Linked DNA regions of Lytechinus pictus. The protein of the gene in region 1 binds, or shares a complex with, the protein of each later gene. Links are inferred from orthologs where the notes say so. Each region holds a gene or a part of one and is shown in the gene's direction. Other genes may lie near its edges.

The links. The genes of interacting proteins can lie anywhere in the genome.
Region 2: the proteins of translation initiation factor eIF2B subunit epsilon-like (region 1) and translation initiation factor eIF2B subunit delta-like are in contact, whole or in part, in a cryo-EM structure (PDB 7D46), measured with the Homo sapiens proteins. The link is inferred for Lytechinus pictus from reciprocal best matches to the Homo sapiens genes EIF2B5 and EIF2B4. Residues at the interface, in NP_003898.2 of Homo sapiens: Arg163, Lys294, Arg339, His340, Glu357; in NP_001029288.1 of Homo sapiens: Arg357, Tyr393, Pro396, Glu397, Lys466, Arg467, Glu469.

The regions. Positions count from the first base shown.
Region 1 is NC_087249.1:3,462,079-3,469,692, forward strand, and holds the start of translation initiation factor eIF2B subunit epsilon-like, read left to right. Parts: upstream 1-4,612; 5' UTR 4,613-4,702; coding exon 4,703-4,828; intron 4,829-7,221; coding exon 7,222-7,346; intron 7,347-7,614. UniProt on the Homo sapiens protein: Acts as a component of the translation initiation factor 2B (eIF2B) complex, which catalyzes the exchange of GDP for GTP on eukaryotic initiation factor 2 (eIF2) gamma subunit.
Region 2 is NC_087245.1:39,272,083-39,279,840, reverse strand, and holds the start of translation initiation factor eIF2B subunit delta-like, read left to right. Parts: upstream 1-4,652; 5' UTR 4,653-4,772; intron 4,773-6,729; 5' UTR 6,730-6,731; coding exon 6,732-6,983; intron 6,984-7,758. UniProt on the Homo sapiens protein: Acts as a component of the translation initiation factor 2B (eIF2B) complex, which catalyzes the exchange of GDP for GTP on eukaryotic initiation factor 2 (eIF2) gamma subunit.

The DNA.
Region 1 (7,614 bases):
ATATAGATATAATGTAAAAGAAATCATCTTCAGTACCACCGAGTTTTCTAATGATTCATTACAATTTGAAACTGGAGTTCAACTAGCTGAAAAGTGACTGGTTGTTTGATTGACTGATAGATTGTTGATTAAGTGATTGATAGCTGAATGGTGATTGAATACTTGATTGAGACTGATTTATTGGTTTATTGATTAATTTATCGATTTATAATTAATTGATTGATTTTTGATCAAGCAATTGATAGCTGAATGCTGATTGCATTGTCTATAACACGGTAGTGATTATTTAGTGATAGGTTGTGATCGTGATCGACTTCAGATGGAGTGTCAAGTTAAAATTCAAGTTCGTCTTTATATATATCCATATTGAAAATTTGTTTTGAACACAGTTCTTTTCTAAGTAACATGACAAAAAGAGAGACTTATGAGGTAAATATATAGCCTGAGTAAAAATTATTTGCGTAGACAGAAAGTATTATATTAAAAATGCAACCTTGAAGCCAAATCGATCCTTTTTGTGTTTTCAATATCATAAAATTCAGGCGAGGTCTTAGCCCTTAGAAGGTATGCAAAGCGTCAATGCAAGATCGAGTAATGGAATTCGGAATGATGGATATGGTATGTGGTCTTCATATTTTGAAGGGATCGAGACCAATGAATATGGAAGATATAGTACATAAGCACACCCTGGAAGAAAGGGAAAGATGGAAGGAGAGAGGGAGAGAGAGAGAGAGAGGGGGGGGGAGAGACAGGGGGAGATAGAGGCGTATATATAGCCTTTTGACTGGGCAAACTTAAATTAAATGTGTGGGCCATTTTATAAGGAAGCCCCCTCCCCCCCCCCGTGGGCACATATGCACCGAATTTATGAAGATAAACTTAATGATAATAATGAAAAATCCAGATTGGGAGATATCTAAAACTTTGCTATATAAAAGTGGCAATCGGAGAAATTTTCCCCATATGACTCTAACGGGACTTGCACTGGCATAAAAATGGGGCGATTTTTTGGATGGTTGCCCCCAAAAAAGGTTTCAAAGACTTAAAATGAGGAGACAAGTAAGCAATTGAAGAAGAAAATGGTAAAAATGAAATTATTTTCTCGATATAAAATATGTCAAACTTTGTCACAATATAAGATTTCCATTTTAGATTGATATTGTTGCTAGCTCGCTTCCCTAGCTTGGGACTTTTTAGACCCCCACCCAGTACGCCATTATTCTGTCCGTCAAATTACGCAATGCTGATTTTTATGTTTTTAAAGGACAAGTCCACCCCAACAAAAAGTTGATTTGAATAAAAAGAGAAAAATCCAACAAGCATAACACTCAGTGGCGTAACTACGGGCGGGGGGCATGGGGGTGGGGGGGGGGGGGGTCGATCGGCTGGCCAAAAAAAAAAGGAGAAAAGAAAGAGAAACGTAGTGGGAAAGAAGAAATTATTGTTCTTTATGATTTTATCATTACTATTATGTAAACACAATTTGCTCAGGGCCTATGTCTTCATTGTTCCTGGTGCTCGTATTGTCTGTTTAACGAGATATATAATCCTGTTGTGCTAAAACCTTCCGTTTTCAAATCAATATACTCCAAACATATTTCCTCGCACTTCGAGTTATTATTGTTTTATGTAGTGACATATGCTTCTTTTTCATGACAACTAAAGCGATTGCCCCACTCTAAGGTCTTCAAATAAAACATTTCCTTCCGTGCTCACGTTTGCAATAGTGGATTGGTGAGGTATGTCTGATCTTCATGAATTCCTAAAATCAGTCCTTAATTAATGTCCCTTTTTCTGATCTGAATATCAATTAAAAAAATTTCAGCTCGCGCTTCGCGCTCGCATAATTTGGTTAGTGAAATGCGTATGGTCTTAGTGAATTCCTACAAACGAGCCTTAATTAGAATGTCCCTCTTCAGGTCTGAACTTCCTGAATTTTCAGCTCGCGCTTCGCATTCGCAATATTTGATTTGCGAGATGCGTATGAGAATCATGATTACAATGACTATAAAAAGTAATTCATGTGTTTAGATGTAGTTCTAGCAAAATCAGCAAGCGCTTGGCACTCGATTAGATGACTATGGTGAGATATGTATACTCTTAATGGATTCCTTAAAAAATAGCCCTTAAAATATGCCTGTATGGGGTAAATGTATACAAGTTCAGCTTGCGCTTTGCGCTCGCGTTGTTGTTTAGCGAGACAGGTACGTATCATAACAAAAATTAGCTTTAAAGGAGAATGAAACCCTTGAAACCAGCTGAATCCATATCAAAGAGAAAAATCAAAGAAACATATTGTTGAAAGTTTGAGGAAGATTGAATGAATAATAAGAAAGTTATGAGCATTTGAATATTGAGATCACTAATGCCATGTAGATCCTTCCTGTTGGCAATGCAACCATAAGATCTGTGATGTCACACACGTACAACTCCCTCATTACTTTAGTACTTATTTCCCTTATATTCTCACTTTTATAGAGTCTATCACAAGGTGAGGTGTTCTCTTTATGAGAGGACAAGTACAGAGGTTTCACAACATTATATCATTGATGAATCGTTTGTCATATGATTAGAATAAGCAAAAGGAGATGTTTTGGGGTATATTTTCAGCGTCCAAAAGGGGAGAGTTGTTCATCTGTGACATCATAGATATTGCTCGCATTGCCAATGGGAGGATCTCCATAGCATTAGTGATCTCGACATTTAAATGCTCATAACTCTTCTATTGCTAGTCCTATTTTACTCAAACTTTTGTTGATCTTATTCTTTGATTTTTCTGCTTTCACAAAAGCTAACTTGCTCCAAGAGTTTCATTCTCCTTTAATGTCTATTTTTAGGTCTGAATATCAAAAATTTTAAGCTTGTGCTCGCATTATTTGATCAGTGAGATACACATTCGTTTAATGGCATTGCGCCGTCCTTAAAATGTATTAGGTTAGTATACTCACACTGAGTGACTCAAAATTTTTGCTGGTGCCCCCCCCAATGCTGTGACCCACGGTACGCCACTGATGACACTGAAAATTTTATCAAAATCGGATGTAAAATAAACGATTAATTCCTCCCTGAAAATGCGGAATTAGCATTGTTTAATACTATATGGTTCCCTCAGTTAAGTTGGTCCTTATTGTCAAATCTATGAAAAATGAAATATTATATAATTCAAACAATAAAAAACAAAAGAAATAGTGAGTGATGGACATCATCGACTGACTGACCTAGTTGTGCATGTATATCACCGTGTTTTGTGAAAAATAAGCGAAATTTTAAAATATCAAAACTTTCTTATTTTACATCCGGCATGCCAGTTTGATTTTTTTTACTTATTAAAGTCAGCATTTTCCTGGGGTGGACTTGACCTTTAATAAAGTAAAATGGTAGAGTTAAAAAGGGAGAGATTATTGTTAGTATTATCATTAATTTTTTTTAATTATTGTTATATAGGTGGATCCAGGGGGCCAAAGCAGTCGCACTTCCCCCTATATTGGCGGGGCAAACTACAGGGAAGGGGGGGGGGGGGGGATTAGGCCATCGAATCAAATTGAGCATTTATCTCGCCCTTTGTGCTCGCATAGCCTAAAATAGATTTTTAAAATCTGCTCAAGAGGATAAAGGTAGGCCTATAATTATGTAAGAGTAAAATATTCATTCCAATGTAGCAGCTTATATAGTTGTCTAAATTATATATCACTAGACCTTGGGTATATTCAGGCAGTGATACAACCACCATGACCACATGACCATATAATAACAATACTTTAACCAAATGAAAACACCACCATCAGTGGCAAACAATAGATTCCCTCAGATTAATCTTCCTCCCTTCATTAGTTCGTCTCAATCCTTATTCATTACTCTTTGTTCCCTACATCTTCCAGACCTGTCCTTTGTTCTATTTCATTTAGTTGTCTACTCATGTACAGTCACAATAGATAAGTCCAAAGGGGTAAACACCTCCCCTCAGAGTATAAATTAGAGGTGCTTGATATTCTCTAGGTTCTTTCCTTAGTCTTCGGACTACTACTCCATAAGCTTGCGCTCCTGCCCTTTGAGGCCTTGATAGGGGAGTGCCCGAGTTCTCAACAAGCGACTGTTCATTTATATATATATATGTCTGCGTGATTAAATATCATCTGAACTTTATATACTTTGAGTTGGATTCCCTTATTGAAGTCTTACCACTAGCTAACACTCATCCATACCTACCACGCTACATTTAAAGAGTGTTACAATTATATGATTCCTGTTCATGATTGAGCGGTGCTGGATCGATATAAAAAAATTGATTAGTGAAATATATTTAGCTTCTTCAATGATTCAAACAAACTTGTCACAAATATGATTCTTTGAACTCAACTGGCACTTTTTAGGCATTTAGTCTATCGACTACTAGTATATGCGGCTCTAATCTAATGGTCCTTATTACAAAAAATATATATATATAAAAAATAGCTGAATTATTTGTCTTATGTATGGTTACATACTAAGTAAGTCGACTACATTACAATTGCTAAATTCAATCAAATATTGCATGAAATATACGGTATCACTGAACTAGAGATACGTATTTACGTATATACGTACATGTATTTCTAGTTCAGTGTACGGTATACGGTACGCGTAAATCTAAGCTGAACATAGCCAACAATCTTGGTCCTTACACGAATCTGTAGTGTAGCTGTCCATACGCGACTTCATCACCATGTCTGGCAAAAAAGCAAAGGGGAAATCCGACAATTCGTTGGAAAAGGAGGACGTTCTCCAAGCAGTTGTTATTGCAGATAGCTTCAATACTAGGTTTTCTCCTGTAAGCCTGGAAAAACCGCGAGTGAGTATCTGCTTATGCCTACAGATACAATAATTTTTGGTAGAATTTGTAAGCAGCTGGTGTGTGATGCGTGCGGATGCGGTACCGTATACGGTACGGTACCCGTACGTAGTAGCCGGCTTCAGTCCCCCGGGCTCGGGCCGTCCCGTCCCAGGTGGGCCGTGGGTAGACAGCTGGCAGCCGTCTGTTTCGAGGAGTTTTTTAACATTTTTTAATTTTTTTAATTTCTCCTCATACACAGACGGCTCGCTATCGTGCAGCCACCATTAGGGGACTTACAATGCAAAATCCCCCCGTCGGGGCTCTTCAATTTTTGTCTTTAATGAATCAAACTTTTGAAAATTAACGCGACCGAAATGCAAATTAATATTCCCTCTTGGCATTAATTGCCAAAAAACGGGGAAAATCAAGTTAAAAGGAACAAAAACAGTGACTTACCTCGGCTGTCGCACAACTTCACTGCCCTGTTTTATCCAAACTTAATACACATAAACATATGGCCATTGAGTCCCCTGTACAGATCGCGCTAGAACTTCGGTCTCTGTATTTGGTGAGTGAAGCCAACGGAGTTCAGCTGAACAACCAACATAACAGAGACAGACTGAAGCTTTTGGTCTAGGCCGTGGGTAGCCTGGGGCCCGTTTCTCAACACATGGACAAGTTACTTAGTCATATCTATATCCACCAACCACGGAGTTAGTTCCAATCTTACTAAACCTGTTTCTCGAAAGGCTTCCTAACTTATAGAATACCTTGATATCGATACTCGGTAAAAAGAGCAGACGAGACGTAGCCTTAGACTTTTAGTCACAAAATAGCATCATTTTCAAAAAGAAAAATTATGACAAAATTGCAAATATTGTGATGAATTGGGAAATAAATCTTTTCAAAATAATAGCACAGGTGAATTATGCATCATACATACTTAGGCCATGAAGACTGGACCATTCAACATGTTCAATAGCAGTGAAAATTGATTTATGAATAATTCATTTCATGACTAAAAAATCACTTGTTGTGGATGTTGAGATGGGTACCCCCGGGATATCAAATTTTAATAGTTTACGAAAGTAAACCATAACGATTTTCTATGTAAAATGATGATAATTATACGGTCTTTTATGACTCCGAAAGTCATCAAAATTATAGTTTAACGAAACATTTTTTAATAATTGATACCGAAACATACGAAATTTGACAAATTATATGCATAAATTAGAGATAGAATTATCCAACTGTTAATAGGGGTCTGAAAACAACTAATACGAGTTCAGTTATGGATGGCCTGACGTGGTAGAATCTTTATCGATTAAATCATTTTACTATTTCAAAATGAATGGTTCTGTGGCGTTTTGTTATTACCAACAGTTTTTATAGTTTCTTTGTATTACAATTATCATTGAATGCATTATCCCACTTGTTTTGTGATGTAATTTCAACCTCTATGATTGATTACGTAAGATTATAATTTGAAAATTTCTAGGCACTTTTGCATGTCAGTCTACCCACGTGATGCCATACGTCATTAAGAAAGAAGTTATGACAGGTTCGGAGGTGTCATAAATATTTAGTGAGGTTGTACCCGATCTTGGTAAAGAGGGCTTCGTGAAACGGTTAGCAGACAAGTAGCTCACTATCTCCGATTTAGTCAAGAAGTTAGACTTATGACGGTGTTGAGAGACGGGCCCCTGGAGGCGTCTGGGGAGTAAAATTATTTCTACTATACGTAGGCTTACTCCCCGTGCATATTGCATTAATGAACATGCATACCAACGAACGTAGAGGGCAGCAACACACTTCAGTGTTGCTGCTGTCCTCTACGTTCGTTGATGCATACATGCTACTAGTACGGGCGACCAAGCGTTCCATCACCGTAGTAACGTGATGTGCACGTGAATATTGCTTTCGCTATGCATGGAAATTTCCAGAACGAATTGCGCACAAACGCTGCTGGGAGAGCTGCATTGCGTAAGTAGTATGTAGTGTTGTACTTATAAATTTATTGTGGGTCCAATCTGGTAAGGTGTGCGATCGCGATCGGTAGGCTGGTTTCACAGAGCTTAATTTGTGCAATTCCTAGACTGGATTTTATAGATTGTATTATCAATTAGGATGCTTTTGGAACCAATTTTTTTATACTTTAAAACTAAGATTTCTCACCGAATTCACTGTTTTTTTCAAAACTGTGTTTTCCGCTTTCTACCCCGGTTTCCGCGATTTCCGCGGAAAATCCGCAAAGCGGAAAACTTAGGGCAGTATCTATGGGGAATGGTTGACTTTGATATCATTACACCTTGACATTCATATTCTATTAAATAACAACTCTAGTTACCTGCCATCCATGTAGGAACTCAGTTTCTAACCACATCTTTTCATTTTGTTTATGTTTGAAGGCATTGCTTCCTCTGGTGAACTGTCCAATCATTGACTACACGCTGGAGTTTCTTGCAACCAACGGTGTTCAGGAAATATTTGTCTTCTGCAGTTCACATTCCAACCAAATCAAACATCATGTTGAGTAAGTTTATTTTCTGATCAATTTTTGCAGGTTAATTTAATATTTAAAAAAAAATATCTTAAGAGCAGTTTGATAATCAAGTCACATTCAATATAATTTGTAATTAAACACAATCTCATTCTCATGTTGTCATAAAGTAGGAACAAAGTTGATATAATTCCACAAGGGGCTGTTTCATAAAACTGTAAAGTTACATATGACTTAACAAATGATAAGAATTTATGTGAAATGCTAAAATTTTGTTCTGAAGTTTTTCTTAAATTTGAAC
Region 2 (7,758 bases), on another chromosome or scaffold:
GTACAATACAATTAGTTGGTCAACTCATTGTTCACATCTAATGTTTATAATGGTCATTCACTATTTTATTTGCCTATTCGATTATTCTATTTATTAAAAATATCCCACAATATTCCCCGTACGACAAAGCGTATTGTGTTAGAATTATTTTTATTTTACCAGAATTCCTCATTATATTAGTACTTCAATCAATAATGGGAGAGAAGAGTATAGACCTACATTGGATATCATCCATTTGTTTTTGGGGTTGTTATTTTATTTGTCGTGATAAGCCTATACATGTGTCAGTGTTATACACCGTGGAAATGACGAATAGTATACAACTATATCGGTCAAATCACAAGTTTCGGTTTTTCCGCTTTTTCTAAAGGTATGCAGTGTATGAAGCATGCAGTGTGTAAAGAGAGGGTGTGGTCTTTTGGTTTCATGACATTTTCTCCGGCGACAATTATTGCTCCGATGGAAAATCTGCACATTAAGCCAAACAGGGGGGGGGGTTCTTCTTTTTATTTGGCAACCAGTGAACTTGACTATTTTCGCCATCATGAATATCATATTATTAAAGGAGAATGAAACTCTTGGAGCAAGTTAGCTTTTGTGAAAGCAGAAAAATCAAAGAATAAGATCAACAAAAGTGAAATAGGACTAGCAATAGAAGAGTTATGAGCATTTAAATGTCGAGATTACTAATGCTATGGAGATCCTCCCATTGGCAATGCGACCAAGATCTATGATGTCACAGATGAACAACTCTCCCCTTTTGGACACTGAAAATATACCCAAAAACATATCTTTTTGCTCATTCTAATCATATGACAAACGATTCATCAATGATATAATGTTGTGAAACCTCTGTTCTTGTCCTCTCATAAAGAGAACACCTCACCTTGTGATAGACTCTATAAAAGTGAGAATATAAGTGAAATAAGTACTAAAGTAATGAGGGAGTTGTACGTGTGTGACATCACAGATCTTGGTCGCATTGCCAATGGGAGGAACTACATGGCATTAGTGATCTCAATATTCAAATGCTCATAACTTTTTTATTATTCATTCAATCTTCCTCAAACTTTCAACAATATGTTTCTTTGATTTTTCTCTTTGATATGGATTCAGCTGGTTTCAAGGGTTTCATTCTCCTTTAACGGTTGTTTTCTTTGAAAAAAAAAGTAAATGAATAAAGTAAAATTCAAATATTTATTTCTAAATCTTCATATTATTCTTGACTCAAGACTCTATTGCATTTTTAATTCTAACCCTGTGCTCTATGAGATATTAAGACCCGAACAAATGTCGGGTCACCGGTCTTTTTTATACATCTGGTTGATATTTCTTTCCGGTCTCAATATTATACCATACACTTGCTTAGACATGTTAGAGATGGGGAGGGACCTTATAATTAGTGCCATGACCCCCCCCCCCCCCAACAAAAAAAAAGATAAATAAATAAAATGATTTTTTTTTTTAAATCATGACCAAGAAAAAAAGGGAAAGGAAGGAAAGGGAAAATGGTGAAATGTGATATATATTTTTTTGAATTTTATGTCAAATTCTATCACAAAATTTAATTTTTTGGGATATAAATTAGGACAAAATAATTTACTCACTCGCTTCGGTCGAATGCAGCCTTTTAGAACGTTTGCCCAATACCGTTGGTAAATGTATCATTTTTTCATTCACTTTTATTGATATATGGTTTTCCGGTATTCAAGAACAAAATGCTACTTGAGATAATTTCATTCTTATTTAGAATTCAATGAATTTATCCGACTAAAGATAATTTTTGTTGGGAGCAGAAGGGGATATTGACTAATAGTATACTACTGCTACTACTACTACTACTACTTCTACCACCACTACTACTACTACTACTACTACTACTACTACTACTACTACTACTACTACTACTACTACTCCTAGTACTCCTGCTACTACTATTACTACTACTACTACTACTACTACTATACTACTACTACTACTACTACTATATTACTACTACTACTCCTAGTACTCCTGCTACTACTATTACTACTACTACTACTACTATACTACTACTACTACTACTACTGATACTACTACCACTACTACTACTACTACTACTACTACTACTACAACAACTAATAATAATTCTAATAATAATGATATTAATAATGATAATAATAATACTTCTACTACTACTGATAATTTATTTATACACTTCACATTTCTTCTTTTTCTCATTCTCCTCCTCCTCCTCTTCTTCTTCTTCTTCTTCTTCAAAGCGACTTAAATGTGACGGCATATTTTTTTCTTATTCGAATCACCGGGGGTTTTATACAATTACACGTCTCTCATTTTAGAAAGTCCTCTCCCCTCTGTTTTTCCTTTTCTCATTTTTTTCCTTTTTCTTCTCTTTCCCATTTTCACTCCTTGGAAAGTCATTGTGTGGGATGCCCCCTGCCCCTACCCCATATATGACGTCGCTCCTGAGTGTAACAAAGTAAAATAAAAGTTTCTGTACATCATGATGACATTCTCAACATCTCAATTTCTAAATTCACACTTCTCTCTCCCCCAAATCAAGATGTTATAATGGAAAAGAAACTAAAATCGATGCCTTCGCTATTTTATTGATTTCTAGGTGGTAATATAAAGCGACCTTGCATGAGCATAACCAATTCTGAAAGTAAATGATAAACATATAAAATGATATTTACGTTGTGATTGTGAGTGTGTGGGTGTGTGTGTGTATGTATTTTTGTTTGTAGTGCGTTGGGAAGGGGCACGAAACCTCACATGTTCATGCAGTATGTTTAGATTTACAATAATATTATTACAACATCCAGTAAGATATCGTTTGGCAAACCTCAAAATGCATTTTTTGTTCAAAGGATAAAAGAATCTAATGAATGATAACACGATTGATCAATCTCTATCCATTCAAATAATTCGTCCAATCGCAAAATCTTCAAATGGAATCAGTATTTTCGATGTAATAACATTTAATCTTCTCATAAAGACATTTTTCATAAAGCTTTAAAATGTATTGTTACCACTATATTGCTTTTGAATTCAATCAACTTTCTTACCAAAACAATTGTTACACGTTATTCTACTCATAACAATATTTAAAGAACTTATTTATTTTCTTGCTGCGCACAAGCTTATTATTAAGTATAATATTGAAAAGGCCTATAATAACTCCTCATGCTAAAGCTGAAATATTAATTTTATAGAATTCTTGAAGTGGTATTATGGAATTGGCTCTGATAACACAATCATTCCCGTAGAGAATGTGCTCGTTCAATCATTATGATACTTAACCCAGTAGCAGCAGCAACAGCAATAGTAGTAGTAGTAGTAGTATAGTAGTAGTAGTAGTAGTAGTAGTAGTAGAAGTCTAGGTAGTAGTAGTAGTAGTAGTAGAAGTAGTAGTAGTAGTAGTAGTAGTAGTAGTAGTATAGGTAGTAGTAGTAGTAGAAGTAGTAGTAGTAGTAGTAGTAGTAGTAGTAGTAGTAGTAGTAGTAGTAGTAGTAGTAGTAGTAGTAGTAGTAGTAGTAGTAGTACTAGTAGTAGTTAGTAGTAGTCTACTACTACTACTACTACTACTACTACTACTACCTATACTACTACTACTACTACTACTACTACTACTACTACTACTACTATAGTAGTAGTAGTAGTAGTAGTAGTATATAATCGGTAGTAGATAGGTATATACGCATCAATAATAGTGAGGTTTTTAGTTGAATATGGCAGAATATTTAACAGTATGGAGTAGGCCTATCTTATATAGTTTTTTCCTTTTATTTCTTTTTCTACATTTCTTTTTTTTTTAAAGAAACAACGACATATCATTCTAACATATTTCATTATTTATAGGTAAACAATGTACGTGATTTTATACTTACCTTTACTGAAGTCAGAAAGTCTTGGAACACATGCATACTCGGAAATAAAATAATTCCTACTCATAGTACATGGGATTCTTCTATCGTACACCCGTGTGACTCAAAACATGAAGCTCATGTGACGCTTAATTCATATATAGAGGCATTATACGACGTAATTCGCGTCCTCGTTTATTTCAATGCAGGAGCACTTTGTAAAAGAGCCCTTTTCTTATTCATGTCGGGATCATGTTCAACAAGCCTTTTCTATTCTTCTCATTCGCATTCACCACAGAACAAACACTTCTGTGTCAATTTACTACTCTGTTGAATAAAACGATCAATAGTTTAACCTACCTTATATCTCCTCTTGGGTTTTCCATTTCTTGTTTCATTTTCCGCCATAAAATGTTCAGGAATTCAAAAACGAAGTTAAATGCAAGAGACTTTCAAGATACTTGAGAGTAGTTTGGAATCATAGTAAGATGTAGATATATTGATATTACACCCTACACCAAGCAAGTCTTTTATTTTCACATAGGCCAACAGTATATAGTGGAAGCAAAAAGTAACTTGGGAGACTACATTCAATAATAGGGGTATAAAAGGTATCTCGTGCTAAGTTGAAATCTTCTGTAAATAAATGTGAAAATATCAAGTTACTATTTTACATATCAATTTATATTTTCAAAAATAATTAAGAAAGAGTAGTTCGAATCTTATTTTTTAGAACTATGTTGAGTAAAATACTCAAAAATCTCAAGTTTCCTTTGCAAAATATGTTGATCAACTTCTACCATCTGTTTTGGAATGAATTTGTCCAAAAGGCCATCGAGACGAAGAAGCCGAAGTCGAAGAGCCCCACTACATTTCCACCTTCTCGGGACTTTGACTTTGCAGTTTGTAAGTTATTTTTTCAACCAATTTAAATTAATATAATGTTTGTCGTCATCCGTTATTACCTATCTGTTTATGGGGAATTAATTTTGTTTGTTGCCGGCATTTGCATGTCCATATGTTAGCACAGTCCCACACGCTTTCATTCATGTCTTTTTTTTGTCACAGATGCCAACAGAGCCAGGGTTAAATTCATTGGCGACATGTAATGAAATGTGCACAGAACAGCTCAGCCATATCCCCGTCCATTAAGTCGTCTAAGTACAAATATCAAGAATTAAGGGAATAAAGGACTTTTGATGCTTGAAGTTGAACAATTGTTCTACAGCTTTTGTTATAAATCTTGCCTCGGATCGCATAAATCAAATGCCATGATTCCTGAGTGAGGAGTTCATTTTTTATAATAGATTTTATTATATCTAGAAAAAAAAATAGATAGATCTAGTTACCCGACGCACGCGTCTGTAACGTTGGCGAAGAACAATAGGAAACAAGATGGCGGCGTAAACATCGGGCAAGTCTCTTCCGTCTTTACACAATATTTCTCTCATTTTTTTGATGAATTCTTGTTCAAAAATAACAACGAGAGCGTAGAAATGTCGGAAATGAAGTTTTATCCCATGTACATGATTTAGGGCTAGATCTATTAGAAAGAAAGTAGAAATCTCGGGGGCAAAAGTTTCAGGTTTTTTGGTGGTACACACGAAAGTATACCTAGCCAGCCCTGGCTTCATATGAGAGTGACCTTACGTTAGTAAATGATTTTCACTCTCTTTGAAGCCGCCTGGCTAGCTCTGGGCACGAAATCAAATATTTCTAGATCTAAATGTTTCTATAGGCCTAGATCTATAATGAAAATGTTGTAACGGGGGTTGGTTATTAGATGAAATGGTAGTAAGCCAATCTCCACTTACCGACTTTATGCGTGTAGAGACATCCGACAGACAATCCTCCAATATATTTGAAGTGTTCCAATTTATTGCATGATCCCAATATGTGTATGTATACAGTATATAATATATTATTCACAAAATCACACAGATATTATCACAAAACTAACTAGGCTAGCACAAGCAGTATTTTTTATTTTGCTAAATTCTCTTGGTGAAATGACAGAGAAAAAGGGTAGTACGAAAACTTGAATATGATATGAGCCTAGGTGGAAGATACAATGGATGAAGTTTGCTTCAAGTGATATGATGGAAATCCACAAAAGTATTAAGTAATTTGACGACGTTCTCCAAACACGTGTTTACTATAGTAGAAAAATTTGAGAAGTGTGTTAAAAAAGAAAGTGGTAGTTTTCATCCCAAATGTGTTGGAGGATGTAAACAAAGAGAGGGGAGAGAAGGAACCACCAATTCAGAGAATTTATAGTGAGTCACAGGTGAGTGTGCTGTGCGAGGTTCATTATTGACCACTTGTTGGCATGTTTATTGCTAAGGAGTGGAAGTAACTGGTATCCAAGGGTAATGTCCTTTCGAAGATGATGAGTAATAGAAGGCAAAGTTGAGAAATGAAGAAGGATGAAATTTGGAAAATACTACAATGTATTTCATATCCAGTCCACATAACATTTAGTTATTTAACTATTATACCCAATATTTGTAATGCGCTTATCCCAAATGGCCCAAGTGCTTACAATTTCAGTTTACCTAATTCATACAAAAACAAGTACAGAATGCCATAAGCCTAACATTACATATAAAATGAAGGAAGTTGTTTAGTCCTAGAACAGAAACGTTTTTAGAGACTTCTTAAATGATTCAACTTTTGGGGATTGTCTTAATGTGAGAGGGTGTTTGTTCCATTCCATTTAATGGACTAGAACACTCGGTGACAAACTTTTAAGAAATTCACCAAAACCTAAAAGCAAAAGAGGCTTTAACATGTTTAAAATGAATTTCAGTTAATAAAATCAATAATGAAACAAATTTCTTTTCGTTTTATTTTTGAACAACAGGAATGGCTGAAGTAGCCAAAGCCGCAGCGCACCCCTCCACAACGAGCGAAGGGAAGAAGGTCAAGGAGGGTGTGACACCAACTCAAGATGGAGGTGATGCTGCAGGGGGCGAGGGAGGTGAAAAGAAGTTATCTAAGAAGGAGAGGAAGATGCTGAAACAGAAGCAGCTTGCGGAGCAGCAGAAAGAAAAAGATCTGGCTCAGGCCCCTGCAAAGAGCAAGGCAGAATTAAAGGCTGAGAGGAGGGCTAAGCAGGTCAGTTGTGGTAAAATAAAGCTGTTGGGTGAGAAGAATTGATGTCGTTTAGTTTGAAAAGCCTACTGAAGAAGTTAAAAATGTTTCGGAAGATGTATCACAAGACGGGCTACATCTATTGCAGAGTTGGTTTTACAGCTTTCATTTACAGGTAGATTATCTATTTTGTTGTTGTTTTATGGTGTATTCTTGAAAGTTATTCGCTTCCATCTTTAAACAGCAAATACCTCATGGACAAAAAAGTTCACTCCAACGTTGACTATTTGCCTGTTAATTTGTTATTCAAATTTTTTTTTTTCAGATCTTTTTGTTTACTGTTATGCATTGCCTCCTCTTACCAGGGTAGTCGTCAGAGACCTTGTCAAGTCCTTCTATTCATTTTAGTTCTTATAGTAAAATATAGACCATTTGATTTATAATCAACTTTACATTTGGCTCATGGAATTGACATGATCTAATTATTTTTGGGGTATGTAGGTTAACAGTTGGAGGTCATATCATAGGTTATTTATTATATGTACAAGTACCAGAAAATTACTTGTCTTTGAAATGTTTGACTAATTAAATTGTCTCATGCAATAGAGAGGACGATTATCTAAGTAGTTTTTAGGTCACATGGACAAAGTTTGAAGGTCACAGAGGTCATCTAAAATATAATTGCCTTTTCTCTAAATAGATAAGAAATGCGATCTAACATCCTTGATAATTAAGATTTCAACTTCAAAGTTTATGCTAATTTAGTCTTATGGGATTGACATTGAATTTATTTCTTAGC